Drosophila melanogaster: one gene and its partners. The protein of the gene in region 3 purifies or fractionates together with the protein of the main gene of each other region. This does not show direct contact. Each region holds a gene or a part of one and is shown on either strand. Other genes may lie near its edges.

The links.
Region 1: the proteins of dgt1 (region 3) and MBD-R2 purify together in Drosophila melanogaster (affinity purification with western blotting, with the first as the bait; one study listed by BioGRID). This does not show direct contact.
Region 2: the proteins of dgt1 (region 3) and Rcd1 purify together in Drosophila melanogaster (affinity purification with western blotting; 2 studies listed by BioGRID). This does not show direct contact.

Annotation. Positions count from the first base shown.
Region 1 is NT_033777.3:12,350,043-12,361,449, reverse strand, and holds MBD-R2 (MBD-R2), read left to right. Parts: upstream 1-5,184; 5' UTR 5,185-5,306; coding exon 5,307-6,531; intron 6,532-6,604; coding exon 6,605-7,255; intron 7,256-7,319; coding exon 7,320-7,452; intron 7,453-7,505; coding exon 7,506-8,836; intron 8,837-8,905; coding exon 8,906-9,075; 3' UTR 9,076-9,307; downstream 9,308-11,407. Other genes in the region: CG4115 (uncharacterized protein), read right to left, coding at 960-1,113, 1,175-1,320; CG10041 (uncharacterized protein), read left to right, coding at 9,387-10,040, 10,354-10,563; CG10038 (uncharacterized protein), read left to right, coding at 10,947-11,076, 11,140-11,255. UniProt on the Drosophila melanogaster protein: Component of the non-specific lethal (NLS) complex, a multiprotein complex that promotes expression of housekeeping genes on X chromosome and autosomes.
Region 2 is NT_033778.4:14,144,777-14,156,311, reverse strand, and holds Rcd1 (reduction in Cnn dots 1), read left to right. Parts: upstream 1-3,603; 5' UTR 3,604-3,897; coding exon 3,898-4,248; intron 4,249-4,385; coding exon 4,386-4,705; intron 4,706-4,765; coding exon 4,766-5,292; intron 5,293-5,349; coding exon 5,350-5,795; intron 5,796-5,857; coding exon 5,858-6,086; intron 6,087-6,216; coding exon 6,217-6,276; intron 6,277-6,358; coding exon 6,359-7,078; intron 7,079-7,132; coding exon 7,133-7,875; 3' UTR 7,876-8,049; downstream 8,050-11,535. Other genes in the region: pea (peanuts), read right to left, coding at 1-3,063.
Region 3 is NT_033777.3:29,851,943-29,861,878, forward strand, and holds dgt1 (dim gamma-tubulin 1), read right to left. Parts: upstream 5,550-9,936; 5' UTR 5,456-5,549; coding exon 4,945-5,455; intron 4,892-4,944; coding exon 4,699-4,891; intron 4,633-4,698; coding exon 4,469-4,632; intron 4,412-4,468; coding exon 4,011-4,411; coding exon of another isoform or gene 4,002-4,010; exon of another isoform or gene 3,707-4,001; coding exon 3,206-3,706; 3' UTR 3,188-3,205; intron 3,102-3,187; coding exon of another isoform or gene 2,916-3,101; 3' UTR 2,753-2,915; downstream 1-2,752. Other genes in the region: Cad99C (cadherin 99C), read left to right, coding at 1-589, 659-1,186, 1,252-1,370, 1,440-2,165, 2,231-2,366; CG7824 (uncharacterized protein), read right to left, coding at 5,815-6,776, 6,833-6,929; CG15514 (uncharacterized protein), read right to left, coding at 8,412-8,693, 8,765-9,412.

The DNA of each region.
Region 1 (11,407 bases), about 18 Mb from region 3:
GATGTGGGCAATGAGTCGGAAGATGGCAGATGAGATGGGATGAGATGAGCCCGGCTGACCACAACTCCAAACTTGACACTTGTTCATCCGAAGAGCGTTGCATAATATCAGACGATTCCATTCGTGTGCAAAATTACAGAGGCAACAACTGGGAAAGTTTTTCTGTATTTATGATGCGTATTTTGCCTTTCCGTTCAGTTTTTATGCGCAATTTCACATTGAACTTTGTGGAGCGATGTTAGTGTCAGGGATTTCGCAATTATTTTTATTGTGTGCCCCCCCAGCATCCTCGGAATTAAGGTCAGCGTTTTGTTGTGTCTTGTCTGAGCTGCCAAATAAAACGCGCTAAACAGTTCACACGCGGCTAAACTGACGTTATTTAACTTGCCAAACAAATTAAGAAAGGTGACATAATGTCATGCAAAACAGGTGAGAAAACAACGGAAACAAAATCTAATAGATGCAGGTACAATAAATTATTGGCAAGCTTTTTCGACTTTAAGGTGTAAAAGTCCACATTGATGCGGTCCATTTATTAGTGTTTGATTTTGCATTTATAATAGCCTTTCGCCGGAAAAAAAAACATATACATAGTGAATGAGTTGCACATTTCAATGGTATTTTCGGTCATTTGTTTGATCTATCAATGCTTAAATGTTTAACAAACAGGTGCATTGAAGTTCAGATCAATTTATTAGTTTGGACATGGTTCCAATATCATAAGTGGGACTTACGTAAGGTTTAATTTATTGACTTGGGACAATCCATTTATAGACTCAACATTTTCGGAGTAAATATTTATGAAAGTTGAGATAAAAGATTAGCTTTGCGTGTGCGCATTTGTGTGCTATTCATGACAACACCTATACTTGAGTTCGTTTCCTAAGTCTTTCGATTTCTCTTATCATTTCTTGCCTTAATTTATTTTCATCGTTATAGCCCCTGAAATTTGTACTTACATTCTCGCGCACAACATACTGCTTGATCCACTCGTTCTCCAAACTGGTCTCCAGGGAAACGGAGTCCATGCAGCGCCTGCGGCAGTAGTTCCTGGCGGTCAGCCAGTCCTCCTCCACGCCCTTCAGCTGAGGGTCGCGCCACGAGAAGAAGTAACTGCGGGGAGAGAAGCAAACCCTATAGTTTATGTTTTGGTGAGCATATCCTGCTGACTCACCCCTTGCCATCGGGAGTCTTCTCGTGAATGACACGCTGGGCACAGAGCTGCGGATTCGGCGGCTCCAGACGTCCGTTCTGGAACTGAGCGGATCCCAGGCTCAGCACGCTCAACACGCACACTCCGGCGATAATGAAAGCTTTCATTTTTGTTTGCTTTATCAGTCTATTCACTGGCACTTTCTGCGGGCTCGATTTTCTTTTTTGGACTCGCGACGCACTTCTCTCTACCGACCGATCGGCTGGCACTGATCAACTGGAATGTCAAAAGCATTGGGGAACCCCGCCTTATATACGAACCGAGAGTCGCATCGATCCATCCACTCAATTCGATGAGAGCGCCGTACCCCAAAAAGAGAGAATGAGTGGTGGGGCTTTTTTTTTGGTTTGGCGGCAGTACTACACTCGAAAATGTTTATTCCATGAAGTCCTACTGTTGAACACTTCTTTTTTCTTTATAAAAACCATATACTTTCTTTTAATTTAACTTTTTATTTTCAGGATTTTTAGTGTGAGAAACATTGTAACAATCAACGGAGCTGATTGTATGCAAGTCGAAATTTGAATACCCTGTACTACAGAGGCAATAAATTTAGAGATTGATTCATTTTGAAAAATTCCTTTTAAATGTTTTGAATAGATTGGAAAATGGTTAGGCCAGAAGTATTTTAAGCTAAAAACTTAAATGTTAAGATTAGTAGATTAGTAGAATTCTAGCGACTTGCTAGAATTTTTGATTTAAGTAGATACTCGTGAATTTGCACCTATGTATGTATATATTTTAAGAGCAATCTGTAACCCATTTATAAATTGGAGCACGGGGAGAATGGCCTAATCTTCAGTGGCTGTTTAACCAGCAACCGTGAATGATAAGTGGCCAAAGTGGTGCAAAAAAAGGGGAGGGGGGGACGATCGGTGGGCGATGGGTGGCGTTTCTTTGGCTTGCGCATCATTTTGCACCACTTCGCTTTGAATGGCCGTTGAATGGATTGGGCTAACTCCCATCTAATTAGCTTCACAAACACGACACCACTTGAGCCAAAATCGTTTTTGGCACGGAAATTTCGAACTTTTTTTGTGTGCTGCGTCTCCTGTCTCTTTGCATAAATAAATGCATTTTACGCTATTGTTTGCTTCGTCTCAGAAATGTATGTATTTGCCAGTGCTTTTGTCGCTTTGCTCATTGCATAATCTCAACTGATGTGTTGACCAACAATTTATGTCGATTGAAATCGACATAATTGAAATGTAAAGGTCACTTATTAATCAATAAGTTCTGTGGCTACATTAAATACGCACCTATATAACAACTAATCGTACTTATAATTTTAAATGAGCTGCCAAACGTTACATAATGCCGGCCATAAATAGCCAGAAGATATACCCAAACACACTTGCCATTGCATAAGCATAAGAAATGATGCCCATCTACATTATTTTCTCCACAGCTTGGGACCCAGATCAAGGTCAGCCCCGATGAGTACGAAAATTTCACCAGTTGAAAGTGAAGAGTAAGCCGAGCAAACCCGAAAACCCAAAAACCCAAAACCCAAGCTCAATTCACGCATTTCAACATGATCGCCTCGATAAGTTTTGTCTCCTCCGCGCGTTATTTTCTTTATTTTTACATCTTCAACTCACGTGCAGTTGAGCATGTCGACCGAACACAGCCGAAACCAAAAAATGGCGGTTTTTGAAAAAGCAAAGGTATCTGTTAAATCGCACTTTATGGCAATCGGTAAAACGGCAAAAGTTACACGAAGGCAGGTGCCGCTCATTACCTGACACATGTATCTCGTTGGACACTTTGGGCGGATTATGCTGGATGCTGCTGGGCCAGCCGCGCCCATTTCTCAGAAATTTCTATAATATTTAGCAAAATATTTGTATCGATTATTATTAAACTATGCCACAGAGGTGGGTGTTAAGTAAAATTATTTCAATATATTGTACACAGAGTTTGGAAAAATCCCAATTGCTAGCATTGAAAAAATTCCACATATTAAATTTCAAATTTCAAATGACCGGCGTGCAATGCTGAACGACAAAGAGCAATAAAAATTATAATAAATTAGGCAACCCATTTACATGGTCAACACGTGTATTTGCTTAAGCCATGTCTTTCGGGCAAGCATAATTTATTTAATTTGTGTGAGCTACTCGGCGTTACATGAATTCCCGTGGGCACTCTCAAGCCCAAAATGATCATCATCATTTAGCGATAATATTTTTGGGTAATAATCATGTGATAAGGAACCGGGAAACTGGGCCCAACTGTCAAGAGACGCGCAGCCAGCCTATTACCGCATTGCATGCCCTCATATTTACGCAATGAGTTCCCAGACGGTATCGGAATGGGGATCGGGATCGGGAGAGGGAGAGGGAGAAGGGGCTGACTTATGGGCTATGCGGCTGGGACCGATGAGATGAGGCTGGGGAATGGGCCTGGCCAATTTGTCGATGAGTTGGGTAAATATTAAAGGAGAAAGTGCCGCCGTCAGTTGGACCAAAAGTTTTGTACTCTCCTTGTACATATTTCTGTTTTCGGTTTTCTGTTTTTGAAAAATATTTTTGCACAGGTTACATATTGTTGAATTATTTGCACAAAAAGAGAGTGAGGTCAGGTGCAGTCGTCCCAATTTCATCGAGTGTCGATAATTTATGCAAATATGTTCACTAATAGTTATGCAAACGGAAATCTAACCGTGTTTACCACCCATTTTGGATTTCCCTTCGAGTGGCCCCCTCAATGTCAGTTTTTGACTGACCAAAATTTATAAAATGCTAAATTATTCGGCTTAGCAACGTCAATTACTCACGTTATTTAATATTTATGTCAGCTGCATATGACAATAAAAGCATTTTATAATTAAAGTTTGCTTTATGCTCCAGCCGTGATTTGATTACAAATATTGGCAATCCACTGAATCAAAGTCAACACCATTTGATATTGGCTCCGTGTCAATTTCGCAAACACGCCCAAGATCTAAAAGTCAACCGATTGACCCAGAGACCTCGTTTTCAGGGAAGTACCCAAAAACAGGAAGCTCTTCGACCGTGAGTTTCCGGCTATCATTCTAAAACAATATTTGTAATGGAACTAAACTGTTTAGTTACGGAATTCGAGGGGTCAAGCCACATATATACATAAGATATTGACACAATATAGAGAATCTTAATATTTTATTCTTTCAAAATGTGCCATCACATTTTCCTCACATATTTCGATTTGAAGGCCAAAGCTCCATACTTCAATCGATTTTTTTGGCGGCTCAATCAACCGATCAAGCAGCAGGCGCCACATTTAAATTTGTCAGTTGTTTCTTGCATGCTAATGACCGGGTGAAATATTGTAATTAAAAACTACAATGAGTGTTTATTTTAGCAGTATGCGTAAATAGCTGCTCCTCAAACTTTGAAACCCAGTGTTGAAATACATATTTCCAGAAGCATTTGTCGAATGGATAATATCGTATTTGGTTAGCTTTTTGCAAGGTGTCTGCCTTTTGGCGAACGTGGTGACATGTAAGCCCAAAAGCGTACATTAATTGCATTTCAAATAGGCTTTCGGTGGCCTTGGGAACGGTGGCGTATCGGCACGTGATCCTTTTTCCGCCGAGCTGAGGAAATTTATGGCACCCTCACTTCGCTAAAATGCATTAACGCACCGATTAATATTAATTGTGCAGCGGGTATTTACCAACTTTAATAGTTAATTTATGGCAGGAAGATTGATGTAAAGTTTCATGAAAATTGAGATAGTCAGAAATAAAAAGTAATTAAATTCAACCTACTCAGGCTCTAAAGTAATATTTATTTATTTATCGAAAGTAGTATTTATTTATCACCACAATAAAGATCTATGCAATAAAGTCATTTAAAATTTATTTTTTATAAAATTCAAAAAATATCGTTAAATAGTTTTGAACTTTTCCAACAAGGTGGCAATATCTAACTATCGATAGTTTGCCGACGCACACGTTTTTACTGTACCCCAATTTGGTATCACTAATTTATTGCGCTGTATTTTTCTGGATAATTTTCGCGTCGTTTCCTGGATTATTTCATCACTTAGCAAAGTGTGCGTTTGCACATAGGCAAACAAAATAGAGAATTGGGTGAACTTCATCGCCATGGGCCGCCGGTGCTGCGTGGCCAACTGCCCGTCGACGTCGCGTCTGTTGGAGCACAACGGCGTGACTTACCACTCCTTCCCCCTAGATCCCATCATCCGCGCCATATGGATCAAAAACTCTCGCATCAGCCTGGAGCGCCAGATCACCAAGAGCGTGCTGGTCTGCTCACGCCACTTCCGCCGTTTGGACTTCAACACTATCCGCAATGGGAAGTATCTGCTCAAGCCGCGCGTCTTTCCCACCGTTTTTCCATGGGGCAAGATGGATACCGCGGAGATCGAAGCAGACCAACGGGCACTTCAGCACGCCAGCGTGGAGGGAACGACTGAAACCCCGGGAAATGCTCAGTCATCGACCAATGACGATGTGATCAAAGCTACGGTAGACCAAATAGTTGCGCAAATCCTGTCGGAATCTGCAGAACGCAAGGCCACGGAGGAAGGTAAAACAGGCAAGGCGGCGGATGACGTTAAAAATACTCCCGAAAGTGGAGAAGATGCAAACAAGGCAGCTGCAAAGGAACCCTCAGGGACTCCGGTAGCCGCAAGCAGCGAAGCCACAGTCCCAGCTCCTGGATCCGCTTCCAGTTCGAACTCACCTTTGCCCGGCACACCGCCCAAGTACAGCAACCCACATAACCTGACTATTGGCGCCCGTTTGGAGGCGCTCAGTGTGGAAGGCAACTGGTTGCCCGCCCGCATCGTGGAAGTTAACGAGACGGAGCAGACGCTACTCGTGCGCTTTGAGCGCAATCACAAGCTAAAGGTGTCACCTTCGACCAGCGGCAGCTTTCAGGAGTGGATGGCCATCAAGTCGGAGCGGCTGAGGCAGCGCCTCAGCAACCGTGTGCTGCCCGTCTTTGAGCTGGACGAGAAGTGCATGGCCCGCTGGTCGGGGCCGCGTAAGTTTCCAGGAACCATACGCAAGTTGCTGGGCAACGATACCTACGAGGTTCTCTTCGACGATGGTTACGTTAAGAACGTGCGCGCCGTGCACATGAACAAGATGCCCAAGCAGTTGCCCCCTGTTCAGGTAGCGGAAGAGGGTGCCTCAAAGTCACCCACTCCTGTTGGAACTCCAGTAAGCTCTGCACCTGTGGCTCCGAAGCGGGCGAGCACAGGCAGCCTTGGCGGATCCAGTGGCTCTTCGGGCAGCAAGAAGAGCAAATGTGCACCTCAGCGCAGGGATTGGCCGTTGCTGGACATGGCCAGTTTGGATATAGGTAAGAGCACCGAAAGGAGAATGTTAGTTTTGCCTTAAACTTAACTTTCATGTTTGACTTTCGTAACCAACAGCATCCCTTGGACTCCCAGAAATACCGCATGACGGCGAGTGGACTTGTCATTGGGTAAATGACCAGCCTATTGGAACCGAGGGTTTTCTGATTGTGGGCGAGCACCAGAAACCCACTGTTATCGTGCAGGATTGGCGTCTGCCTCCTGGCTGGATCAAGCACATGTACCAGCGGTCCAACGTCCTCGGCAAGTGGGATGTTATTCTGGTCTCGCCCAGCGGCAAACGTTTCCGCTCCAAGTCCGACTTGAAGTTGTTCCTTGAGTCCCAGAATCTGGTCTACAACCCGGATGTGTACGACTTTAGCATCCATCGACGTCGTGCCAAAGACATCAATGCTTACGTCTACACACACGGCTACAATCCGCAGCCACCGCCCAAGCCCAGGCCCATGGATGTGTCGATGAACTCCACGCTGGACCAGAGCATCACGTCGCAACATTCTTTACCTTCTACTCCGATGCCGGTGAAAGAAAGCCAGTACATGGAAGCACCGGTGGCCTCGCTTATGCCACCAGCTGAGTTAATGTCGCCGCAGACGCAGCCTGCCGATGAGACAAAGCCCAAGATAGAAGCAGAAATACTGGAAGCCAGTGAGGGAGGTACCTCTCAGCTTATGTTAGCAGATCCTCATGTGGTGGAAAATGGCTTTGGTAAGTATATGCAATTTGAAATAACATGTGCTATATTAAAATAAATTATAATTCCATATTTCAGCTTTCATTGGGGGCCTAAAAGTCAAAATCCAAGACAATCTTTATGTATGCCCGCGCGAAGATTGCGCCAAGACCTATCGCAAAGAAGACTTTCTGCTAATCCACATTCGCCATTATCACAAGGAGTTTGCAGAGTGAGTAATATTCATTCAAAACTCATGACACCTAACTTACTTTAAATCTACAGACACGTCAGCCACTGTCCAAAGATGCAGGAACTAGCGGTCAAACGTACGCACCCCTCATCCATCGATCAAGTTGAGGCGGTGCCAAAAAACCAAATACCCAACCAGCAATTCTTTGCCAAAATGCACCAGCAGGATTTGCAGCAGTCACGATCGTTTAAACGACAGAGTGTATCAGCTACGGCCACATCTTCAACGCCATCTGACATAACGCCTACTAAGGCCCTGTTATCTCCTAAGATGGAGCCACCAAGTGTGTCGCCAACTGTTGAAAGTGGCATTAAACAAGAAGATGTTTCTCTGGATGCTGGTCCAACTCAGTCGTTTAATCCTTCATTGAGTCGTTCCTGCAAGCGTGCACGCTTGTCGCCGTCGAAGCGGCCATCTGGCTCGCGAAAGAGTAACCGCCAGCGCTCTCAGCGTCGTCCCATTTTGTCAGATAACCCGGCTGGTCATGGCTTAACCGAACAAGATGTTGAGGAGACACGGCAATCTTTTAACACCCCCACTCCGGATACGCGCATCGACTCGAAAAAACGCCGCAGTGGTGCGGCAACAACTCCCATCAGTTCCATTGACTCACCAGCCATGGGAGATTCGGTGTCCACGCCATCATCTAATGACCAGACCGACATAAATGCAGCCCTTGCCCCACCACCAGCTGAAACGTTAAGCAAAGCACCACAGTACATCAAGGAAAATGGTGAACTAATTCGAATTGTGCGCATGCGGCAGGAGGAGATCATTAACTGCATCTGCGAGTATGGCGAAGAGGACGGCCTAATGATCCAATGTGAATTGTGCCTATGCTGGCAACACGGTGCATGCAACGGAATTGTCAAAGAGGCAGATGTACCGGACAAGTATGTGTGCTACATTTGTCGCAATCCGCAGAGGGGTCGGGATTCTATGAGATTTAAGCACGACCAGGACTGGCTATTCGAAGGCAAGTTGCCGGTGGCCGCGTATCACACTGCAAATCCACAGGCCACCAAACAATTCGAGCTCTTGAAGCGCTCGCACACGCTGACCGGCAATTTGCTAGATGCCAAGCGATCGATGCACTCGCTGCTGGTGAAGATTAACATCGCACGCAACCGCTGTCATCCGAAGCTTTATCTATGGGCCAAAAAGTGGGACGAAGACAATCTGGACTCTACTGCGTTGACACCGGTTAAGCGTGCAAAATTGGAGGCCCCCGACCTTCCGAACGTTCCGCAACCGGAAGCTGCCATCGATCCGGAGGAGTGCCAGTACCGTTTGATCGAGCATATCAAGGTGCAGCAATCCTTGGTTCTCGATCGGCTGAATGACATAGAAGCCGAAATGGACGGTTAGTATCCAAAACTAATTTTTGTCACGAGTATATATGAATCTATATATATTTTTGAATTTCTTTTAGAACTTGAAAAGGAGGACACGTTGGATGACTTAAAGGACGCTGACATCTCGACCACAAAAGAGGCGCTGGCCACGTTTATTAAGGAGCTCGAAACCATGAAGCGCCTTGCCAAGCTCAACCAGGTGGCCAATATGAAGCAGACCCTCAGAGATTCTGCCACTAGCAAGTAGCATTTCTATTGATCACGGTTATAGGGGTCTAATGAGGATTTTCTTTTAAGCTATTTTCGAACTGTTTCCATAATTTTGCAGACGTGTAGATAGTAACCGTACAAGCTTTTTCTCTTCAAAAAAAATATTGCTATACTTTATAAAGTTTGATAATATAATGGAATTTAAATGTATATTCTTTTAAAGTTAACCATGTGAGAATACAGAAAATTATAATTTCATGCCCAATTATAAAGTTAAGATGCTTGATGATAAAACCTGACTACAAGACGTCTTTGTGACGTCTTTGTATTCGTGACTTGGTCGCAGTTATGTGTTGTTGGCAATCTCTTTGCTCCATAGCTTGGTTCGCCGCGATGTCGGCAGCCCAGGAGACGCTTTCCGACACCCCGCAGAATAGCACACCTTTGTTAGCCACAACTGTGTCGACCACGAAGGTGATAAGTTTCCGCCCTCGTTATCCATACATCGTCTCCATAGGAGAGAACCTTAAAGGATACTACAAGCACCTTTGCGTGGGCGTTATACTTTCGAATGAGTTCGTGCTCAGTGCAGCCCACTGCATCCAAACGAATCCAACCAAACAACTGTACGTGGCTGGTGGCGCCGATTCGCTGAACAGCCGGAAGCAGACCCGCTTCTTCGTCGTGGAAAGAAGATGGCATCCCCAGTTTAGGGTGCTCGGCGGCAACGACATTGCCGTGTTGAGGATTTACCCCAAATTCCCGCTCGACGATGTGCGATTTCGTAGCATTAACTTTGCTGGAAAGCCTCAAAGGGATAGTGGCACCCAGGCCTCGCTGGTTGGCTGGGGTCGGGTTGGCGTCGGCAAGATAAGAAAACTCCAGGAGATGCCCTTCTTGACCATGGAGAACGATGAGTGCCAGCAAAGCCATCGCTTCGTTTTCCTCAAACCGCTTGACATCTGTGCGATGCATTTGAAAGGACCGCGAGGTCCCTGCGACGTAAGTGGATCAGAAATACGCCAGAAATTCATAATCGAAAATCAATTAAAATTTTTTCAACAAAGAATATGTTTTCCAATTAAATTAAACAAACTACATATAGGTACATTTCAAATATTTAATCATTATAAAATTTGAAACTAGAAAACATATTCCAGTCAAATTCCTTGGTTTGCAATACGTAGCAATTTTTAAGAGGTATTTAGGATATTATTTATAGAAGTCCTATAATTTCTTACCAGGAACAAACACCAATGCTATAAAATAATTTTTATATCAGTTAAATAAGAGTTATTTTAATTTTACATTTCAGGGAGATTCTGGAGCTCCCTTGATGAATGTGGCAAAAGAGAAGCTGTACGGATTACTTTCCTACGGTCGAAAAGCCTGCACCCCATTAAAACCCTATGCCTTCACTCGCATCAACGCATACTCCAGCTGGATTCAGGAATCCATGGACTCTATGGCTGCGAGATTAAAAGTCTTACAAATTAATCGCACTGTATGGAAAGATGGGTTATAGCAGGTTTTACAGAAATATGTATGATCTTTTCTATCTAGGGTTACAATTAAAAGACAATGATTAATCATCAGGAAAGGATCAATATTATATTAAAAAATGTTATTTAATAAAATTTAATTTATAACGAATATTATGGGGATTTTTTTTGGCAGTGATGCGTTTTGGTGTGAATTGGTGCTCTGACCTCGCTATCGATACCTATCGCTTAGACGATGTGAGCTTGCGGCCAGTAGGTGGCGCGCTTATTCCATCCCTAGTTCGGCGTTCATATGAAAAATCAAAACAAAAACTCGAACAACAATTCTATATAAATAAAAGCTTTTTCCAATCGCTCTATTACTACGTAAGTGCCGAACCGTGTGGAAGCCACGCGACCGATTGTAATGTGGTCTAGGCTTATTCAAATATTTCGACCCCTCAGAAGTTTTCGAATGTCGCACTCACCGCCGCCGGCTAGCAATTGCGAGGAGGCTCTCATCCAGCTGAAAAACTTTGGATATGCATTCGATGGAGGTAAGTAGAATGTTGCACAAAGTCGCTACTTGACAATATGATCTTCCCGTTTGCCTCCTGCAGAAGGAGTGCTGCGCAAAGTCGATCCCGCCACTGGGGAGCCTGGCAAGGAACTCTTTTCCTACAACGTCAGCGACGACGCCGCCGAAAACGAGAAGCACTACCAGAAGCTAGCCAACGTATGTACCGCATTCAACCCACATTGCACATGAATATCTTCTGCCGAAAACTATAATCTATTAGGTTTCCTTGATGTCAAGGAATCCACACCTAGGACGAATCCTCTTCAAGAGAAACTAGACCACACAATTCCTTTCCACAAATATTATTA
Region 2 (11,535 bases), on a different chromosome or scaffold from region 3:
CTGCAGAGCGACGGACATTATAAGCATCTTGGATAGATTCGGCTCGAGGGGAAACTCCGCCATGCGTCTGCCCAGTCGAGTAAGCAGGCCTTCGTCATCCAATGCTGATAGGGAATGTAGTTGCTCGAGCGCCATCACCAGCGATTCCACAGGCGGGGCGTCCATGAAATCAAAGTGCAGCAGATCGTTAATTCCCATTGTCTTTAGTTGGAGTACTGTTGTGGCCAAATTGGTTCGCTGGATTTCTGGCACCGGCGTGGGCAGCATTTCATCTCGATACGCACGTTCCGTATAGAGACGGTACGTTTTTCCTGGGCCTGTACGTCCGGCTCTTCCCGCTCTTTGCTTTGCTGCCGCTTGTGAAATGGGAGTGACCACCAGCGAGTCCATGCCCGTTTTCGAGTTGTACACCTTCTGTTTCACGAAACCAGGATCTACCACATAGAATATGCCATCGATTGTAAGTGAAGTTTCAGCAATATTGGTGGCTATAACAACCTTTCGGCTGCCAGCGGGCGCAGGATCAAATATACGGGTCTGCATTTCGGATGGCAACGCGGAGTACACCGGCAGGATAATCAGCTCGGGGACATCCGGTCCCAAACTCTTCATTCGCTCGTACAAAATTTCACAAGCCGTGTCGATTTCTTCCTGACCCGTAAGGAAGAGCAGAATGTCACCAGGAGGTTCTCGCAAATGGATTTGCATCACTGTAATCAGAGAAGCATCCAAATAGTCCGTCTCTGGTTCCTTGGTATATAAAACCTCCACGGGGAAGGTTCTTCCGGGAATTGTGAAGATTGGCGCCTTGAAGAAGTACTGCGAGAACTTCACCGCGTCCAAGGTGGCTGATGTGACAATTAGCTTCAGTTCTGGTCGCTTTTGCACGGCTGTCTTCAGCAGGCCGAAGAGAACATCAGTATGGATTGTCCGTTCGTGAGCCTCATCCAACATAATGACCGAATAACTTTTTAGCTCCGCCTCCATTAGGCACTCACGGAGCAACATACCGTCAGTCATGTACTTAATTATGGTTTCCGGACTGGTGCAATCCTCGAAACGAATGGTGTAGCCAACCTCCTGGCCTAACCTGCAACCGTACTCCTCCGCCACACGCTTGGCCACCGACATGGCAGCCACTCTTCTGGGTTGGGTGCAGCCAATCTTTCCTCTAGCAGTAAATCCACATTCGCCTAAATACTGAGTGATCTGTGTGGTTTTTCCCGAACCAGTTTCTCCAATCACAATAAGGATCTGGTTGTCCGTGACCGCTTTGATCAGATCATCTCGCAGTTTGTATATGGGCAACGACTGTCGCTGCTCCACTAGCGTCAGATCAGTCTTCTTACCGAAGGAGGATTTCTTGCCGCCAATGACATGCTTTTTCCATTCTGGAACTTCAGGAGGAGCAGCAGCCATTCCTCGCATGTTGGCCGCCAGGCTGCGGCTCTCATCCTCCGGCAGTGGGTCTATCCAGTTCTTATTGAGGCTCGTTGGCATAGCTTCTATCTCTTGTTCACGCTGCAACATCTTCTGCTCGCGACGCTCCTTAGACAAAGCCGACTGCATCATGGCAGCTTGAGCCAGTGAGCCATCGGGATTCTTTACAATTCTCACTGGAGACAGATCATGTAAGGCTCTACCATGCCCGGAGAGGAAGGGTGGCTCCTCTTCCACAATCTCAATCTCGATATCAGCTTCGTCGTCTTCGTCTTTCGGCAATAAGCCTGTTTCCTCGTCGAAATCAGGCATCTCACTTCTGTCCAACACACCGGAACTAATCATTTGCTTGATTTCCCAGCGCTCAGGGCTGGAGATCCTAGTCACACGTTTCCTGGACTCGTGCTCGTCACCTTCCATTCCATTGCCTTGCAAATTCAGCATCGATGTGCTGCTGCTAAAGGGGCCATCTGGATTTCGATCTCGTAGAGACTCATCGTCTTCTGGCGCGTGTGACAGTGGATTAAGATCCTTTCCAGAGTCCTGATCCACCTCTTTCATCGACAAGGACACTTTTTGACCAGTTATTGACATTACTTTCACTTTAACAGTCTGATTCCGAGTGACTACCTCCGTTACATCTGTCACGCGTCCTTCTGCTCTTAGTTGTGAGATGTGTACTAAGCCTTCCCAGCGTTTCCGCAGTCCAAAAAGCTGTACGAAGCAACCAAAGGGTACAATATTAGCTATCTTGCCGGAATAGATCTTGCCCGCCTCCGGATCATCGGTCATGGCGGCAGATGGTGGGGGCATCTTTTCACTGCAGTCCCTCGAACGATCTCTCCTATCTCTCCGTTCTGTGGAACGAGATCGGCTTCGTCTTCGGCGTTCGTGGTGATCTCTTGAGCTGGAACTCTTGTGGCGTCGATCTCTGTCACGATCGCGATCCTCGCGAGACCTGCTTCTGCGGCGATTGTCTCGGGATCTGCTGCGACGACGGCGTTCCTTGTCACGCGATCTGCTTCTGCGGCGATCAGAGTGCCTATCCTCCCGCGACCTACTTCTTCTTTTTGTGTCTCGATCCCTACTTCGGCGCTTGTGGCGGTCCCTGGAACTGACTTCTTTGTGTGGTCTTACCAATGTGGCACCCTCGCCAGGGGCCAGCGCTTCCAGCTCCATCATAGCTGCATCCACATCGCTCATATCGGTTTTTTTGTGCGTTTCGGAATGCTTCTCCGGTTTCGCCTTCACCTTCTCATCGTCATCGCTCTCCTCCTTTTTGCTGTAGGTGTCATTGGGCAAAGCGAGGCCGGGAAACATTTTCAAAAGTTGCGATTTCTTGTCTTCCTTCTTGTCGCCGACAGTTTTCTCCTGGCTAGCGCCGCCAGGTCTGCTGGGGCGCATAAGATTAATGATGCGCTGCAGGTTCTGGACCAGGGAGTCTGGGAATTCGGCGCCATTATCCAGCAAAGCCTTGCGAAATGTGTCATATGTGCGATTTTTGTTTTCTAAATCGATGATAAACTCGGCCAGGTCCTTGTCGTTGATGCCCAAGTGGTTGTCTAGCTCAGTGCAAATCTTCGAGACCAGCGAAAGGTACTCCAACTTCTGCAGCTCGTCCATGCCTACGGAGAGTACTAGTTCAGCTAAAATTTACAAAATTTGTGGAAATTTTAGAAAATTTCCCGCTGAAACTAAACGTGATCAGCTGTTTCTGCACGCAATGGTGTTGCCAGGCGCGTAAAAACAACGGAACGAGGTGGCAGCACTAGCCCCAATCACTCGGTTTCTGACGCTACGCTTAATTTCGTCGCGTTTTTGTTGTCAAAACTAAAAACAATCTCTATTTTAATTAAAGATACATCGAAATATGTCTTCGTTCTTCGATTGCTTCAATGATTTTCTGCAGAGCGGCGGCAACTTAGTGCAGAATGTGTCCCAGGAGCAGGAACAGAAAATCGCGGACCAGGAACTGGACGGCGTCATAGAGCTAATGCCGCCAACCACCCCCACGCCCAGCGAGAGTGTAAGTAACATCCTGAATAAAGGAGTAATTGCTCCACTTGCCCCACATCAAATATATTCGTTTCGTTGGCGTTTTGTTGTGAAATAGAATAATTATCAGCGCGGGGCGTGAGGTTCGGGGTAGCCGCGGTGTTGCCGGACTAAAGTTCTACTGTTAGATGTGGCAAGGCCACGTTTGGCACGCCATATTTTGCTAGAAAGAAAATTCGCAGTTGTGTACTAGGAAATACCAGAAAATCAATAAGAATTGCTGGTAAAATTGGTTAATATCAGTGCGAATCGCGAGTGACCTTTGATTGGGCCGTAGGCTAGCGCCTTGTGGCATTCCCAGCTGTTTCTTACCATCGCAAGCGCGACAACGACGTAGAAAAGAAGAAGAACATCAATTTGGGGGTACCCAGTTAACGCATTATTAATTATTAAAAATTAACTATGAAGGAATCGGGAAGTGTCAGCAAAAATCAGCCGCAGACCTCAGAGGCCAGAGGCTCGATTATAACCTACAGTCCCAGCAAATTTCTGACTAGCGTTGGAACAGGCAGAACGACATACAGCACACATACACACACAACAACAGCAACGTCGGCGGCGACAACCGCAACAAAAACAAACAATTTACCAATGGGCGGATCCAGTGCCGCTTATTATGTGGTAAAGGCTGGCTCCCTGGGCAGCGCTGCCTCCATGTCGGGTTGCATCAAAGTCAGTTCTCCGCCAAAGGGGCCGCCGATGGCTAAGTCGCCCGCCCTGGTCGTTACATCGCCCTGCACGCCAACAGAGAGTGTAATGTTTAAACTAAAGGCATCATATCACCCACTAACCAGCACTGCATGCGCCCTAAGATCCCCAACCGAATCACTCACCTCACTAATGTACCTTCTTGTCGGTATTAAACACTAATTAATGCTTTTATCCTTTAGTCCAGTACCATTTCGGCCCCTAGTGAATCCTCCTTTAGCGAGAAAATGGAGCACAGCTATATGCGAGATACGCCAGTGCGCAGCGATGTTCACAACGGCCTAACGCCCGCTAGGAACATTCTGGTCCGCCATCCGCCACAGTGTCCCAGTTGCCACACATATCCGCCGCAGCACGAGGAGCTGTCAGAGATTCAGCAGGCCCATGTGCCGCCCTATGATGAGGTAGTCGCCAAGGAGGCAATGAATGAATGCGCTCGTATTGCAAAATACGTAAAGAACAACAATTCGGATGAGCAAGATTGGGTGGCGCGCGTTAATAAGTAAGTTCTCGACCTTAGTCAATAGAAAAGCTTTACCATTCAACATCTCCCACCACACAGATTTAATTGGACGCCCATGCAGGAGATGGTTTTCGAGAAGGTCTGCTCAATTCTGGACCAGGATCAGTTGGCACGCTTGGCCAACGACAAACGTCAGCACGAGCCTATCCATCGTCGCATAAGCTCGGACAAATCCGCGTCCAGGTTTCGCAAACTTCTAGCCAGCGTGGCTTGGGAGTCACGCATTACGCAGTGGATCCATGCTCTGCTCATGGAGCACTTGTCGCCTTCGTATATGGCCTCTTATCTGGAAATTCTTCAGACTCTGAAGACCAAGTTGCCCACTTTAGTGGACAAGATGCTGTTTGGTAGGCCCTTAAATAATAGTCAGGAACTGCTGGCACCGGTGATGAAAAAACGATGGGAACCAAATATCATGCCCAAGTCCCGTCAGCTAACGCATAACGCCATCATGGTGGTGCTGCCCAACATGCCGACAACTGGAACAGTTTCGGACCGCATGCAGAAGTGGTACCAGGCATTATCTACTATCACTCAGGTGGTTCAGATTTCGCTGCCGAATACAAGTAGGTTTACTAGCAGAGCTATCTAGATTATCTTATTTAACCATTTCACTTTTATAGACAACAGAATTGGGAATCAGAATCTGGACCATGTGGCCGAAACCATTGTGTCTATCACACGCGTCAAAATCAACGAATTGCGCACAGAAAACCCCAGTCGTGGCATCATACTCGTTGGATTTAATGCTGGAGCTGCCTTGGCTCTACAGGTTGCTCTATCGGAGAGCGTTGCCTGTGTGGTTTGCATGGGATTTGCTTACAACACAATACGTGGGCCACGCGGAACCCCCGATGACCGCATGTTGGACATAAAAGCGCCGATACTCTTTGTCATCGGACAAAATTCCGCACGCACAAGTCAGGAGGAAATGGAAGGGTTACGCGAACGAATGCAGTCCGAATCTTCGTTGGTCGTAGTGGGTAGTGCAGATGATGCACTGCGTGTGCCTAAGAGCAAGCGGCGAATAGAAGGCGTTACACAGTCGATGGTTGATTACATGGTTGTCGTAAGTTCAAAATAGAATATTTGTAATGAAAATACTGTATTTACTTATGATATAAATTGCAGGAGGAAATCTTTGAGTTTGTGAACAGAACGCTAAGCAATCCACCTGGACCGCGTATGCCCACATGTTTAATGCATCAGCAGGGCTACCAGCGACTGCCAAAGCAGTCACCTCACATCCTGGCCGATGGAAACGCAAACAAGGCTGTTCAGCAGATGCGTAAGCGAAAGATGGACGGTGGTTTAGACGACTCAATGGGTCAGCCTTCCAAAACAAAGTTTGTTCCTCACAGTAAGTATCAGTTTTCCAAAATTAGACCATTAAATCGCCATAACCTTATCATCCTACCATCCATCCCGCATGTTTAATCACTAACCACTTAACCATAACGTTCCCAATCAAAATTGTTCCTTCGACGAAGATCGCGTCCACAAGCCGAAGCCACCGCGCCTCATTGATCCGTTTGCTGTGAAGCGAAAGGGTAAATTCATCTCGGGTCTTCCTCTACTGCCACTTGTTGTTTGGCTCGCCCGATTCATAAACTAACATTCTTACCCCCTCAGTTGGAAGACCCCGAACACGCCCCCTTCCCAATGTCGGTGGCTCGGCACGCTCTGTTAGCCAAAAAGGTGCACCTCATCCCGACCAACCAAAACTGAGCGGCGAAGAACCTAACCAATCCATTGAATTCATACTAGATGATGCCCAGGACTATGGAGATGCCCAAACCACTGCAGGTGGTTCAGCGAGCCTGCCAAAGGTGATAACTCCCGGTGTTTTGGGAAAACAACTGCCGCCCGTCAATCTCGCAGCTGGCACCAAGATTAAGATGATCCCATCCAGCCAGTTCGTTCAAATCAAATCGCTACCGTCACAGAGCAAACTCATTAACTACACGCTAAACAAACCGAGTGTCGGGACAAGCAGCACCGCCAACATTGGCAGCGTGGTGAAGACCCTACCATGCTCATCCGTTAGTGGCCAGCAGATCATCACCTTAAAAACGCCCTCGGGACAAACGCAGCAGTTTGCAACAGCAGCCACATCAACAGGTGCCGCTGGTTCATCGACATCAACAGGAACGGGACAGAAAAAGTACACAGTTTTTAAGAACGCCAACGGCATGACCATGCTGCATCTCACCAAGAGCGTACCCACTACAGGTTCTAGCAGCGGCTCTGCGAATATGGATTTGTCCAACATTATCGATATGCCCATTGTTTTTGCCGATAACGAAGGCAATATTCCCGAGCACCAACAGGCGGATAAGGATATTAAACCAGGTGCGTTAAGTGTTATGGTTTATATACTAGATTTTAATTAAACATTTTTCGCAGCCCCCATTCGAAGTGCGAATAAGAGCCCGTTGATCATCAGTCAGAAAATCATTAAGGAGGCAAATAAGCCCTCGGGCATGGTTACCAGTGGCAGCATTACTGCCGTCAGCAAGCCGGGGAATATTGTGCTTAACAAAGGCCTTCAGCAATTGCTAAATTCATCGCCCGGTGGAACACTTGCCACTCAGAATAAAGTTGTGTACCTCAACCGGAGTACAATTAAGCCAATGGGAAATGTGGCGCCTGGTACTCATCGTGTCCCTATAAGGATTGTGAGCACCCCAAACACCGGAGGTGCAGTGACGACCACAGCTTCCAGTAGTCCCATTATGGTTGATCCAGCCACAGGATCCAAGGTTGCCAAGACCGTCAATGTGCAGACAATCAAGCCTACTGGTTCCGTTCTGGCTCAAGGCACCATCCGTCAAGCGGGCAACGTGGGCACCAAGAGCTACCTCCAGATGATCAATACCGCACCTGGTGCATCCAAAACTGTTGCTGGCGACGGCAAAGGTTCTGTACGAAATATCTACTTTAAATCGGCAACCGGACTCAAGCAGTTGCCAGTGCAGATGCTAGGCAATCGAATACCGGGTGGCGCCGTCATTTCGTCAACCGCATCGGCATCTTCTGGATCTCCTGGCTTGCGGCGAGTGGTAAACATTGGGCCCGTTTCCAAGGTGACGGCCACGTCGACAACATCATCGTCGATAGCTGCTACTTTAACCCATAATAAAATGTAGAATTGGACAATGTTTTAATTGCGTGCCTGATACATTTTCGTACTTAGCCGATATCTGTGTAAATATGTTAAGCCATTAATTAATTAGTGATTAAGGGGTCTTGAATTACCCTCTTTCCTCAATGTCAAGGATTATAATTTCGTTCATATAAAGAACAAATAAAAAAAAGTCGACAAAAAGTTTATTTTTATTTAAGTTCTGGGAATTCGGAGAACGCTTCGCTTGCAAACCTGTGCAAATTCCATGTCTGGGATTTGGGTTACCATATAATGGTTCCCCGGTCCTATGTACAAACCTTATGCATACATGGGTGCAATTGCTGAAAAGCGACGGAGCAGTACAGGAAGCAGCAGCGGCGTGGGAAATGTATTCAAATGCTTCGGCTCGAAGTGCGTTAGTCCAAGATTTCTCTGCCATTTATGAAACCACAAGTGTGTTCACACGGCTGCTCTGCGACCAGTGCTGGTAAAACTGTATTCTGATGACCGATATTTTGCTTAGAATTGCAATTCGCAGCTCACTGCCGGCAGCTTGGAAAAAAGTCTAGAGTTTCATTGAAGTTTCGCGGGCAAGTGTATGGATGGTCCTACACATACTTGTATATATATATATATCTAAATATATATATGTGGGTTTCTTGTTAAATGCCTCTTTAGTTTGTGCAGTACACTTTAACCCATTTGAGGTATATTCTAATATATGATGTATATTTATGCAGAAAACTAATTTAAAATCTCATATCTCCTATTATTGTTTTTGTCGGTATTTTAACAATATTTAATATTTTGGTATTAAAGTGCTCTTAAAAAATTGCTATTATTTGAACGATACATAATCACGATACAATAATAATCATAAAAGAATTTAATTTAATATTTACATTTAATAAACCGTTTTTTTTTTTTGGACCTAAAGGGTTAAGTGCACTTTTTGACTAGTCAGCAAATTGCAAAGTGAAGCTCTCTCAAAAGCCAAAGAACATTTTCGCGGATCCCGAATGCCGCTTGCGCAGATTTTGAGTTTTACTTGTGATTTCTTATTTGCTTTAGTATCCAGTCATATATTTTATTACATTGTATGTACAGTCCGAAATCGTGTAGATATATAGAAACACAATTATGTATAGCACTGTATTTTTGAGGCGTCAAGGGTAATACGGACATTTCGAAGTGCTTGGAACTTCAGTAGCGCGACAAACGTGATCACGAGCAGATCGTCAAGGATTACAAAGTAAAGCTGCAAGGATACTGAAAGGATCCAATTGGTTGGTTCAACCAGAGTTTTCAAGGATAATACAGTGCAAACAAAAGGATTTAATTGGGTGATTAAAAACAAGTGCATTCTACGGTTGTTTTAACACAAACAAAAAAAAAAACTTTTTTACCCACTACTTTTGGCAAATTCAAATTAATTTTATGAGTTAAAAGTGAAATTTGCATATATGTAGGCAAGTTAAAATATCTCCTACGATTTTTGCACCATTTTTCATGTGACAAAAAAAAATCTTGAATATTTTCCTGATCATTTCCCAGCGACTTACGCAATTGGAAAATTATGTGGAGAGTCAGCCGGGCGATTCGCAGGCACAGTAAATCGCCAAAATGCCAAGACCCAAATCGAATTTGATTTAAAAATGTCTTTAGCCGGCTGCTGGTTGCATTCGCAATGCAATTTCGGTTGCAGTCTCGCTTCGCTTACCACCTGCCGGGAGCATTTGGCCCATACCTTAACTTTGGTTTCGCTTTTTTTTTTTGTATTCACTCTGGTCTTAATTTGTGGCAATTTGTCGGACCAGAAACCCACTGGGCCAGCAGCAGCCAGCATGTGCGTTTGTTTATGGCTTATTATTATTATTTTGTGTTTAGCCTAATTTCGGCGGCAAGATTGTTGCACATTTGGTGGCCTTTTGATAACCAGACTGTTCAACTTTAATTTATGGCTTTCAAATTAAAAATTCATATTCTTATGTAGTAAATGTTCTTAAAATCAAATTGCGTATAAATTTCAGATTTATGCATTACTCAAAATACAAAATACAAAGAGCAAAAACTCTTTAACTATGCTGCTAAAACTGTAATCCTAGTAATAAAACTCGGCTTCCAAATCCTTTCATTAAATTCGTCGTGCTTCACTCAACTTTTTCCATTCCATTCCCTTTTTTTTTGGGGAAATTCAACATCCTGGTAAAGGACACCGCAAATCCTTCACACAAATCCCCTGCACAAATACTAATAAGCTCGGTTATTCGAGCGAAAAGCTGTGCGAAAAGTGGGTGGAAAAGCTGCACTTTTGATTTCGCATATTCCGGGCAGAAGGAAAATGAGAGTGGGTGCAAAATCCTGATAGTTGCCCTTACAAATGCACCCCCCCCCCCACCCTTCTCTCAACGAAGTTGCCCATTAAATAACGCTTAATAACATGCAAATGATGTGAAAGTGAGCGGTGGAAAAGCGGGAGGAAAATGGCGAATGCCACTTACATTGCAAACTGGCGAACTCCATTCCGCCCATTTTCCACCCACTCCATCTGTGCTCCTCCATTTATTCAATGTGTGTCTGGCACTTTCAATATTTTCCAGGGCAAACACTCGCCGGAAAAGAAGGAAAATCAGCAGGAGGAAAAACAGGAGCAGCTTGATTACGCCAAAAAATTGATTGCGCCAGAAAGGAAAAAGTGGACAAGAAATTCTGTGCTTTTTTCGCAAATTTTTATCTGTCTGCCATTTTTTATTACCGACTTCAGGTGCAGCAAGATGTCATTTTAGTGTAGCCTTAATTTCATGTTACCTTTTAAACAGGATTTTGCTTTTTAAATTATATACTTATTTTGTAGGTCTTTTTAAATTACGATTTCTTGGTACTCGAGATAGTTTGTATGAAATATTTATATTTTCCAGCATTTTATTTAAGTACAAAGATTTTGGGAATCGGCCACTACCTTGCAGTCACGTGATGAAAAGACACAGGTGACACTGATCCGGATTTGGTAGTTGACAAATCCTCCATGCCGAGATTAGTTTCATTTTGCGTCTTTTGAATTCGAATAGTTCATGTGATGTGACGTAGTGGAACATACCTGAAATTACAAGCAACACGAAGTGAAACGATTATTTAAGGTAACGCTGATTAAAGGTGTTTATTTTTATGGATTAGTTAACTTAAAAAGCAATAAAAACTGGTTAATTTCATATCTACTGTCATTTGTTTTGAAGTTTTTAATGCATTTTATATGTTTTTGCGGACTATATTATAGTTTATTTCTAGTTTCTGTTGGTTGTAAAATTAAAAAAAGTTCTCTTGTCATTGTCCAGCTAAAACGACTTACTAAAAGTTTCGTGAAACTGCCAGGAAACTGACTTTGCATTATGGTATTTTGTCGCCTCTTCGCTCACCTGTCGCCACCCACCGTTCCTTGAGTCTTATTCCATCTCATGGATGTCTGGCGGGAATTGTGTTGGCCAAAAGTTTGCCACGTTAAAGGAGACACAACGGTGGCAGAAGGAAGCCTTCTGATCCACCACCCCCTTCCTCGCGACAGGACAACCTTGAAGCATGTGCTATTTTTAGCAACAACAAAGGAGCAGAGATCCCAGAGCAAGGATGCGGCTCCCCAGGGATTTGTTAGCCAGCTCGCCGGAATGGAATATTATGAATTACAATT
Region 3 (9,936 bases):
TTTGTCCAGCGGCAATAATGAAATCAAATTGGACAATAAGCTGGAAAGTGGAACGGGCATGAGCAGTGAAAGTATAGGCTTGGCCTTCAGCGACGACAGCTACACCACCAGTGTGCCGGAGTCAATGGAAGCCAATAGCACCCTTAAGCTCATTCAGATTGTGAATTCCAAGACGTCTGGCGACGGGCCGCCGGCATTCAGGTGTGAATTCGTCAGTGGCAACGGGGGGGGCATCTTCAATCTGAGCTCCGCCGATCATGGCTGTAACTTACTGCTCATCCAACCTTTGGACTTCGAGAACAAGAGCTCGTACAGCCTCCAGTTGCGCCTGACATCGCATCGCTACTTCGTCAATCCCCTGAAGGACACCACCAGCGTGGAGATCATAGTCCAGGACGAGAACGACAACGCACCGGAGTTCGAGTTTAACAGGCTGCGCGGCCAGCAAGACACCTTCTACACGGTGGTGACGGAGGAAATGGATGTTGACACAACCATTTTGCAGGTGCGAGCCACAGATCGTGATTCGGGGAAATTTGGAACCGTTCGCTACACTCTCTACGACGACGATGAAAACCGGGTTAACATGGTGAGAAATCTATACTCTACATTAGGCAATGAATTTTTTTTTTTGATAATTATCATATGATGTTTCCAGCCCACCAGCTTCTTCATGATGTCCGAAGACACTGGAGTTCTACGAACTGCCAAGCACTTCAAGAACGAAAACGACTTTCCACTCACCTTTTTGGTGGAAGCCCGTGATAGCGATGGCCAGGAGCAGGGATCCCATCGCACGAGGGCCAGGATAGTGGTCAATAAGCTGGCGGACATCAACCGCATGGCGCTATCCTTCCCGAATGCAGCGCCCAGCGATCTCCGCAACTACTACACGGAGCTGGAGGAGCTGCTGGACAAGAAGACCGGCCTGGTCAGCGGCATTGAACGGATGAGCAGCCAGAAGTACCTGGCCAAGAACGGATCGGTGATCGAGAACCCGGCTGCTACGGACATATGGTTCTACCTCATCGATCCCAAGACGGAGCAGCTCGTCAGCCGTAAGGACAGCATTGTGGAGACCACTTTACTGGAACCGGCTGCGCGATCGGAGCTGAACATAGCCCTGCCGCGAGCCACAGCCGAGAATATATCGTTTCCCCTGGAGAGGAAGGAGCACGTTCACAAGGTGGGCAACTAATTCTACTACTACTTTTTCTTAGGATATACTATATATAGCTTTGGCACTTCCAGGTCAAAGCCGCCGTAGCCATCGACAACGAAGTCTTCCCCTTCACTCTGATTGCCATATCACTTGTTATACTCATCCTGGGCACGATTGGCATCATTTACATATGCATCTCTTGGTCAAAGTGAGTGGATAACATGTAACCTCTATTTACTTTTACTTAAATCTTTGCATACACACTTGCTCTTTATAGGTACAAGAACTTCAAGCAGCGGATGCGCCAGTACTCCTCCACGAATCCTCCCCGCTACGATCCCGTGATCGTTAACCAGCAGGCCTCGAGTGCCAGCGAAACCATAGCCAACATGAAGGAGTACGAGACCCAGATGCTGGCCATGGCAGTGCCACCGGATGTGGACGATGATCTGCAGCTGGACTTTAGTGCCAAGAACCATGCCTTCTCGCTGGACAATGTTAGCTACATAACGCACAAGGAGAACACCAACGGCGGTGGCCAGTCCAGTCCCTCCCACTCGGATGCCACCACGGCCACGATTGCCACTCTGCGCCGCCATAAGAATCTCAATAACGCCAGCATGAACAACAATCTGGCCATCAACAACAGGCAGAACACCTTCAATAGAACCCTGGAGATGAACACCCGCAACAACGCCAATCCGCTGGCATCTCCGCCGAACGGAGCCCTCTCGGGCACCCTGACTTTGGGCCGCATCAAGCACCAGAACAGCAACCACTACCAGAACGGCGCCTACAACATAGACCCAACTGGGCCCAACAACATGGCCCATGCCAAGAACAATGCCTACAGCACCATGGGCAGGCGGGGAAACACCTTCGGCGACGTGGGATTGCTCAATGGCAACGGGGAGCTGATGAACGCCACGCTGGGTCGGAATGGCCAGCTCAACAATCGCCTGTACGGCGGAGAGGTGCCCATCACCAACCCGCTGTTTCAAAGGTATGCATAGCTTACTTCCTAGTTTATAACTATAACTATAATTGGTAACACCCTCTATCCTGCAGATCCAATTCCGATCACAACCACCTGAGCAGCACCAATGAGAACGTGTCCTTCGGGAAGAGGGACTATGGCCAAATAGGGTTCTCATATCTAAACGATCTGGATAGGTCGGAGGTGGAAACAACTACGGAACTGTAGGGAATACACTAGGAATATTCTGGTTTCGATACATTTTACAGACTTGTTAATATACTTAGCTGCCAATTTGTAATTTTAATAGTGCATTTTAACAACGAGAGCGGTTGCCATCAATTTATGATCATAGCACGAGCAATCTGTAAATACCTGAGCGGAGATGCAGAATGGAGGAACTGATAACTAATATATTTAACCGTGCTTAAGATCAAATAATTACAGTCATTATATTTAAGCGAACGCAGAGTGCATACTTCCCACACACTTACGAAACTGCCAGACGCAGTCGTTTTCTTTAGGAATTGTTGAAAACATGTACATGCATTAATATAAACTGTTTAAGTTGTATAAACTATGGAAAGCCAATAAATGTAAATAAATAGATTTTTAACTTAAGAGTGCCTATTTATTAGGGGTTCCTTACACCCGAATGCACCAAAAACTACAATGGCTGAGTACAAAACCAACTGACATTTTCGTGTCGGAGATTTATATCTAGGTTTCTATGATTGCAACAGTAAACATTTAATCTACGAGGGCTTAAAAATTAGTTTAAGATCTGTTTGGGGCGTACTCCCTGGGCTTCACGTCGCCCTTGTTGTCTTCGCCATGTGCGGTGGTCACGTTGAGGGCTTGACTCGTATACAGCTTATCCGAGGGGTCCTCCTCCTCCTTTTTTATGGTGCTAATCAAGCTGGTGGACTGGGTCTCCTCCTCCTCGGTCTCCGATTCGCATTTCTGTGAAGTAAAGGGAATTGCAAGCATGAGAAGAAGAGATACTTTGGGCTTTTTTCTGGATTTGGGTTAGTATGGTGGGTTATTACGTTTACTACGCTATTAGACTAGTTCATGAGGGCATCGAACCAGGGCATGTGTTCTATGCCCTCGAGCAAGCGCAACACTTCGTTCACATTGCTCTCCGACTCGTCGATATCAAAGTTAAGTTCGTTATTGTCTTGCACGGATGGTTCTTCTAACTCAAAGTTGTCTGCGATGAGGTTATCTTGAGCCTGACTTTCAGCTGGACCAACTGAGTCGTTGGACCCGCCATCGCCCTCCTCCTCGAGGCCTAAGTCTACAGGATCGCTCTCCACACCGTCATCTTCAATGGCTAAGCCCAGGTCACTGTCCATGTCCAGGAACATGGAGTAATCATCGTCGAGGGAGTTTGCCAGATCGTCAACTCCGTCAAGGTCAAAATCGAATATACCATTGGCAAAATCCAAGAGGTCATCCCCCTCCGGCTGCGGCTCATTCCGTGGGTCTTCTCCGACAAAGTTATCGAGACCACGGCCTGCTGCGAAAATACTTTCTACCGGCGGAGTGCTGGGAACTTCATAAAACTGGGGGATGAGAGGTCGGCAATTTATTCAGGGTCGATCACAAAGGGCTTGCTTAGACAGTACTAGCACTTATATACATGTGTTTCGTGTTGTTTCTCTAGATATACTTAGCTTTACTACAAATCAAGCCTAAATACTAGTTACGCAGTATTGTTTGTTCGAACTGTCTTACAGTTGGCTTACTATAGTTTCAGCAGTCATGTGCAACACAACTTATGGCAATGGGTGAGTGGACAGTTGGAATATATAAGCAGTTACTTGTGGTGGTTATGGCGTGGGTTGGGTTAGTGTTTGATCAACGCACCTTTTGTATATACTGGCGCTTAGCCGGCGCCACGGTCAGGTGCAGTACGCAACTGGAGTCTTCGAGAATGCTAGCCACTGGCTCCTGGCAGACCACCCCACTCCGCTCCACGCCGCAGGCTCGGAACAGCACCTGGCGCTTATCCTCCAGAATGTGCTTGCGGCAGTGCTTGCAGCAGGGCAGCGTTCGCTCACCACACTTGACACCGCCTTCGGTGAAGACGCACTTCGGGTTGCTCGACGACTTGGCTGCGTACAAGGCGTCGCGAGCTCGCTTCTCCTTCAGTTTCTTGTAGAGCACCGCCTCGACGCCCTGGCGTCGATGATAGCTATTCAGCGCCTTTAGCTGCTCGTACAGCTTTCGCTCGTGTGGCGTGTCCTTTAGCTGATCGTGAATGCTGCCTGAAAGTGTGGCATAAGACACATTATCCTGCATACCTAAAGGCAAGTGAAACTTACAATATAGCTCTCGCTCGCGTCGTATATCGTGCAAATACTTGCGACGTCGCTGCCTCAGCACGTTCTGCAGATATGAAATCTGCTCGCGGTAAAGACCCTGAAGCTTGATCAGCTTCGTTTCGGCAATCTTTACTGCCTCTGCGCGTGTAAAGACGCCAGCGTGTCTACAAGGGAGAAGAAAAAATTAAAATTTCCTTAAAAAATAGTGCTACGAATAAATCAAATCTTACTTCAAAGGATCATCATCCTCCGAATCGATACTCTCATGGTCAGATTCGTAAAACTCAATGTCCTGGGCGGTGTTCCTGAGACAGGGCGGATCTGCATCGTTGCTGGAACTATCGGAAGCATAATCCAAAATGCGACGTCGCTTGCGAGAGCTCTCCACAACATGTCCTATGGAATTGCGGTGATCCTGAGTGACTAGAAGTGAGGAAAATTAGATTTCAGCTCGGTTTATAGTCAGCAAGACATACCAAATGGCGTCACGTGGGGTGAGACCACATCGATTTCATCATCATCGCGTTCGATCTTTTTCACCTCTGGCTTTATGTCCTCCACATTAATGTGCGATGAGAGGCTGTGCAGCAGGGTCTCGTTGGTCTCCACCCGGCTGCGAATGCGGCCCACATTCATGTGCGTCTTCTGCAGCTGCGTCTGCCGGTTGTGCTCGAAGCAGAGGGTCGTCAGGATCAGCTCCTTCTTGTTGTCATACTTGGCCACCGCGTTGATGCACTTCCTGCCGTTCGAGTAGACGTGCGAGCACTGTCGGAAGTTGGAGCGCGGGTCGCGCAGGATGTGTCGGATGCAATACTCGTAGCCCTCGATCCGCATCAGGCTGCACTCGTAGGTGGGATTGGCGCAGTACTTAATCTTGACCAGCTCGCTGTGGATCTGCTCCCGCAGCTGGTGCTCCTTGTCCGGAGTGCAGGGCGTGCCGGTGAAGCGGGCGCACTGCCGCAATTGGTTTGGCGAAAAGCTGGACATCGTCCTTTCAAGATTTTTGCCGCTTTTTAGAAATTGTTCTCTGATTTTTCAGACGAAGCGAAATGAAATAAAATGCTGTGGAAACAGTGTGACCACAGCAAAGTAGAGCATAAATACCCCACACGTTGTCACGCTTGCCAACCAGTCAGCATCGCCATGAACCAAAAGAGGGTATCCCACCTCCCATGTTGAGTTTCTATATTTAAAAATATCTTAAGATTAAGGTTAAATTTGATAAAAATGCTGTCTAAGTTGGCATCTAAAACCAATTGGAGATTTATTAGGTTATGAAATTCGTTTCTTTCTCTAACAATATTATTACTCTAATAAACATAGCTTAGAGCCTGAGGATTTATGGTTTAATGGGGAAAATGGCAAAATGGGTGGTAGTTGTCGAACTCCGATGGCAAATCGTCTGCTTCGCTTAAAATGAGCTGGATCTGGGCCATTCGTATGCCATAGCGCAACTTGTAGTCCACTGCATCCAGTTGCGGGATGCACCTCCGGTTGATAAGGAGCAGGAAACTCTGACTGATCTCCATGACTTCCTCCGCCCTGAGGATGGACCAGTCCGACATGTCCACATTTAGGTTCTGGGCTCTCAAGCAGATCATGATCCGGTTGTGGTCCGTTTGACCCGTGGGCAACCAGATGCGCGCCTGAGGCGCAAATGGTACATCGCTGACATGGACGAGCTTGATGCGCATGTCATGCCACGAGTTGCTAATCGCGGCAACACAGTCCGACAGGAATACCTTTGAAAATCCGTCTTCGCACCGGATCACTCGGTGGCCACGAACTACGTCTGAGCTATCGAAGGACGGGACGGGACCCCCCGGCATGGCCATGACTCTGTCAGTCACCATGTACGCCAGCTGGGCCTCGACCTCCTGCCACCTTTCGTTAAGCAGACGGCCGTCTTCGTGGAGCTCGTCCACCAGGGCCATCGTCAGGTTGTCACTCTTTGCCAAATTGGGCTTCGCAGCCATAGGAGGACTTGTATTCTTGGGTCCCTTTGCCTTCTTGTGGGCACTAGCCTCCTTGGAGCCCTTTGCCTTTTTGGGTTCAAGTTCACTAGCCTTCTTGAGTGCCGCTTTATTTTGCTTCTTACGCTTCCTTGCTTTTTTACCCGCACCCCTGGTAACCACCGATTTCGCTGCTCTTGCCTCTGTATTCCGTATTTTCTTGGCTCGAGCGCGTGCGCGCCTGGACATTTCCTTCTCCTCCTTTACTGCACGTTTTTGATTAGCGTCCTGTGGAGATAAGCGGGGCTTTTCTTCAGGGGGCTCGGATTTTACACTCCGGAGAGAGTCGCCACGATCTTGAAGGACCAAGTGTAGCAGTTAGCATCGAGAAGGCTGACAACACACGACTTACCATTGTCATCGATTACAATCACATCCTCGAACTTCTGAGCCCTTATATTTTCGTTATTGCAGAAAGAGTCCTTCCTTTTTGTCCAAATACTGGACATTTTGTCAATTATTGCGTCTTGGTTTCTCAGAGCTAAGCAATAAACAAAATGTGTTTACCATCGAAGCGCGAAAAAAGGCCTAAAAATAACTGTAGTTCCACGTGGTTGCAACCCATGATAGACAATCAGCGGTGGCGCAAACCAGGGCGGAATTTAAAAACAATCCAAATTCGTTCCTTCAATCGTTTATTTATTTCATAAACTGTATTGTCTTTGTACAAACAGGAAAAGCTCTTACTTACTTGATGAACAAAACGGGCCGCTTGACTTGAACTGGGTATTTCGCTGGCGTGAACAAGCTTAATGCATAGTCCATCCCATGCGTCGGCTAATTGCTCAATGCAATCCTCTAGGAAGATCTTAGAGAAGCCGTCCTAGCACCTGATCATCCGGTGTCCTCGAATAACAAATGAGGAGTCAAGCAACGGGTGAGGTCCTTGAGGCACCGCCGCCCGTCTATCCGCCACAATGCGAGCCAGCCTCGCCTCGATCTGACACCACTTTTCGAAGAGCAAGCAGCCGTCTGCGTGGCGCTCGTCTACCAGGGCCATTGTCGGGTTGTCCTGGATCAACTCCTTGTACTTCCAGGCCTAAATAGACAGATGCATCTGCATCTCCGTTTGTGATTCTTCCCATTTGAGTCCGATGGTCCGTTTCGCTTACGTTGCTGCTGATCGCTACTGATTGGTGCTCTGCGCTGAACACATCAAGAGCGTTCTACCCTACTCCTTGACACGTTTGAAGTATCACTTTCCCCCTCCGTTCCAAGCCCTAGGAAACTAAGAGGGGTCTCAACTTAATAATGTGGGTGCACCAGATACCCGGCTAACATACCCTTATAGGCCGGTTTTACGTTCCTGTTCTCCAAGGAACGGGGAGTTGAAGCAAGGCCTGGTTTTTACGTGAATATCTAGTCATGATTAAGGATCCGTATTTCCGTGCTTCTGCTGAATTAATCTTCGCAGAAGTAAACAAATCTCTGCCTGCTTTCTAGCGATAACTGACACAACCTACTTCGATATTGGAAGTTATCGAGGAGTGTGACCGCAACATAATTATTAATCTTGTAGTGCAAATATCCGGTATTTCCCACCGTTTAAGTACAGTGCTCACTATTGAATGTGCGTTTAGTTACAATGAGTAGAATCCTAGATTAAGCATATTAATAACACATAATTGAGCTACAGTTTGTTACTAACTCTAAGCGTAACGGTGAAGTTTATTTACGAGCTGAAATGATCGCTTTTAAGCCGGCACTTTTTACAAATAATATATAAATTAATAAAAGGACATAAGAATAACATGCAATGGCCAAATTACTTCTCTTTCAATTTCTATGCCCTTCCCTCGTGGAAATTAATCCCCCGCACAATAAATGCTCAGATCATAAAATCGTTTAAAGTATAATCATACCTAAGTGTAAATAATCATATTGCCCGCCTTATCCACCTACAAACACAAGCCGTTCCAATCGTCGATGGGCTAGTTGTCCACTACGTTCATGTCCAGGAGAAGCTTTTTGGTCTGCAGATCAATGAGCCGCCGCTTGGCCCTGGCCAACTCGGCCATCTCGTTGTAGTATATCGTTTCCGCCTTGAGCTTCTCGTCCAGCTGTGTGGTGGACTCCGCCAGCGAGGCGCTGTCCTGCGGAATCATGTTCTGCATCTCCGCCGGCTCCGGCTCATCGCACCTGTCCACCACCACGGAGTCCGAGTTGTCCACAACGTACTCGTAGAAGGGTTCCTGCAGCGAAATCGAAGTGACCTTAAATCAAAGATCGAAAGCATGTAGAGGCTAAATGTGGGTAGGGGAGCGGAAGTGGTCCGTGGACAAACCTCTTCTTCAAGGTGATCGGCCACCTTTTCGATGATGCTGTCCACATCGTCAAAGTTGACTTTCTCCAGGGGATCAGCCGCCTGCCTACGCTCCAGGCTGGCGTAGGAGTCCTTCTTGGGTGTCATGAGGTGCTGGTGCGAGTGATTCAGCGTCTTGGCCAGGCTGGTGTGACGACGCACAATGTGTCGCATCAGATTGGAGGACGAGTGCTTCGAGGAGAGCGTCTTGCCGCAGTGCATACATTTGGCCATGAATTCGGAGATGCGGATAAAGTGCGCCCACAGTTTATTGTTCTTCCCAATGACCTTGTTGCGCATCTCCTCCTGGCTGTGCCGCTCCATCTGCTCTTGTTCGAGCTTCGCGTTCATGATGCCGCGCACCGCCGACTTGGTCTCGCCCTCTCCGAGCTCCATGCTCAGGTCCTCGGAGGCGGAGGCTTCCAGCTCGTCCTTCAGCTCCGCCAGCATCTTACCCTCCTCGCCGGCAAAAATTGATCGGGCCAAGAGCTTGTGGTTCCGGATTAAGTGGCGCGTCAAGTTGGAGGATGTGTGTTTGGAGGACAATGTCTTCTCGCAGTGTTTGCACTGAACTATGTACTCGGTCAGTCGGTGGAAGTGCGCTAGAGCCTTGAAGTTTTTCCCAACCATAGCTGCTTCCGCAAATCCGGGAGTTGCAGTTTCGCCTGCTCCTGGCCAATTTGGTGGCAATTGTCGCGTTTATTTATCAAATTGCTTTTATTTTCGGTGCAAAATGAGGGTGTGACCGTGTGCGCGAAGCCACAAGCTAACATTTTACCGAGCTGTTACGAACGCAAGCTGGCCACACCTTATTCAACGGGTAATATATTTCGACAGCAGTAGTGGTATTCTCAAATGTTAAGTTTATAATTAAATAAGTGCTCCTGTTGTATTCCAAAATACATGTCCTGATATATATCTTAATTGTAAAGCAATATAATTAGATATTAGTAAATACAATCTACCACTATGGCTCATAAAAATAATTGGTTTCACATTGCTTCATACATTTTTAACTAAATTTCACTGATTCCAGGTGCTAAAAATTAATATTTGAATTAATGTAACAGCACCGAGTGTACTGTAGAGCGCGCGCTAACAGCGCAGAGTTGCCCAACCGCGGCAACTGTCAAAAAGATAACCCTACTTTTTTG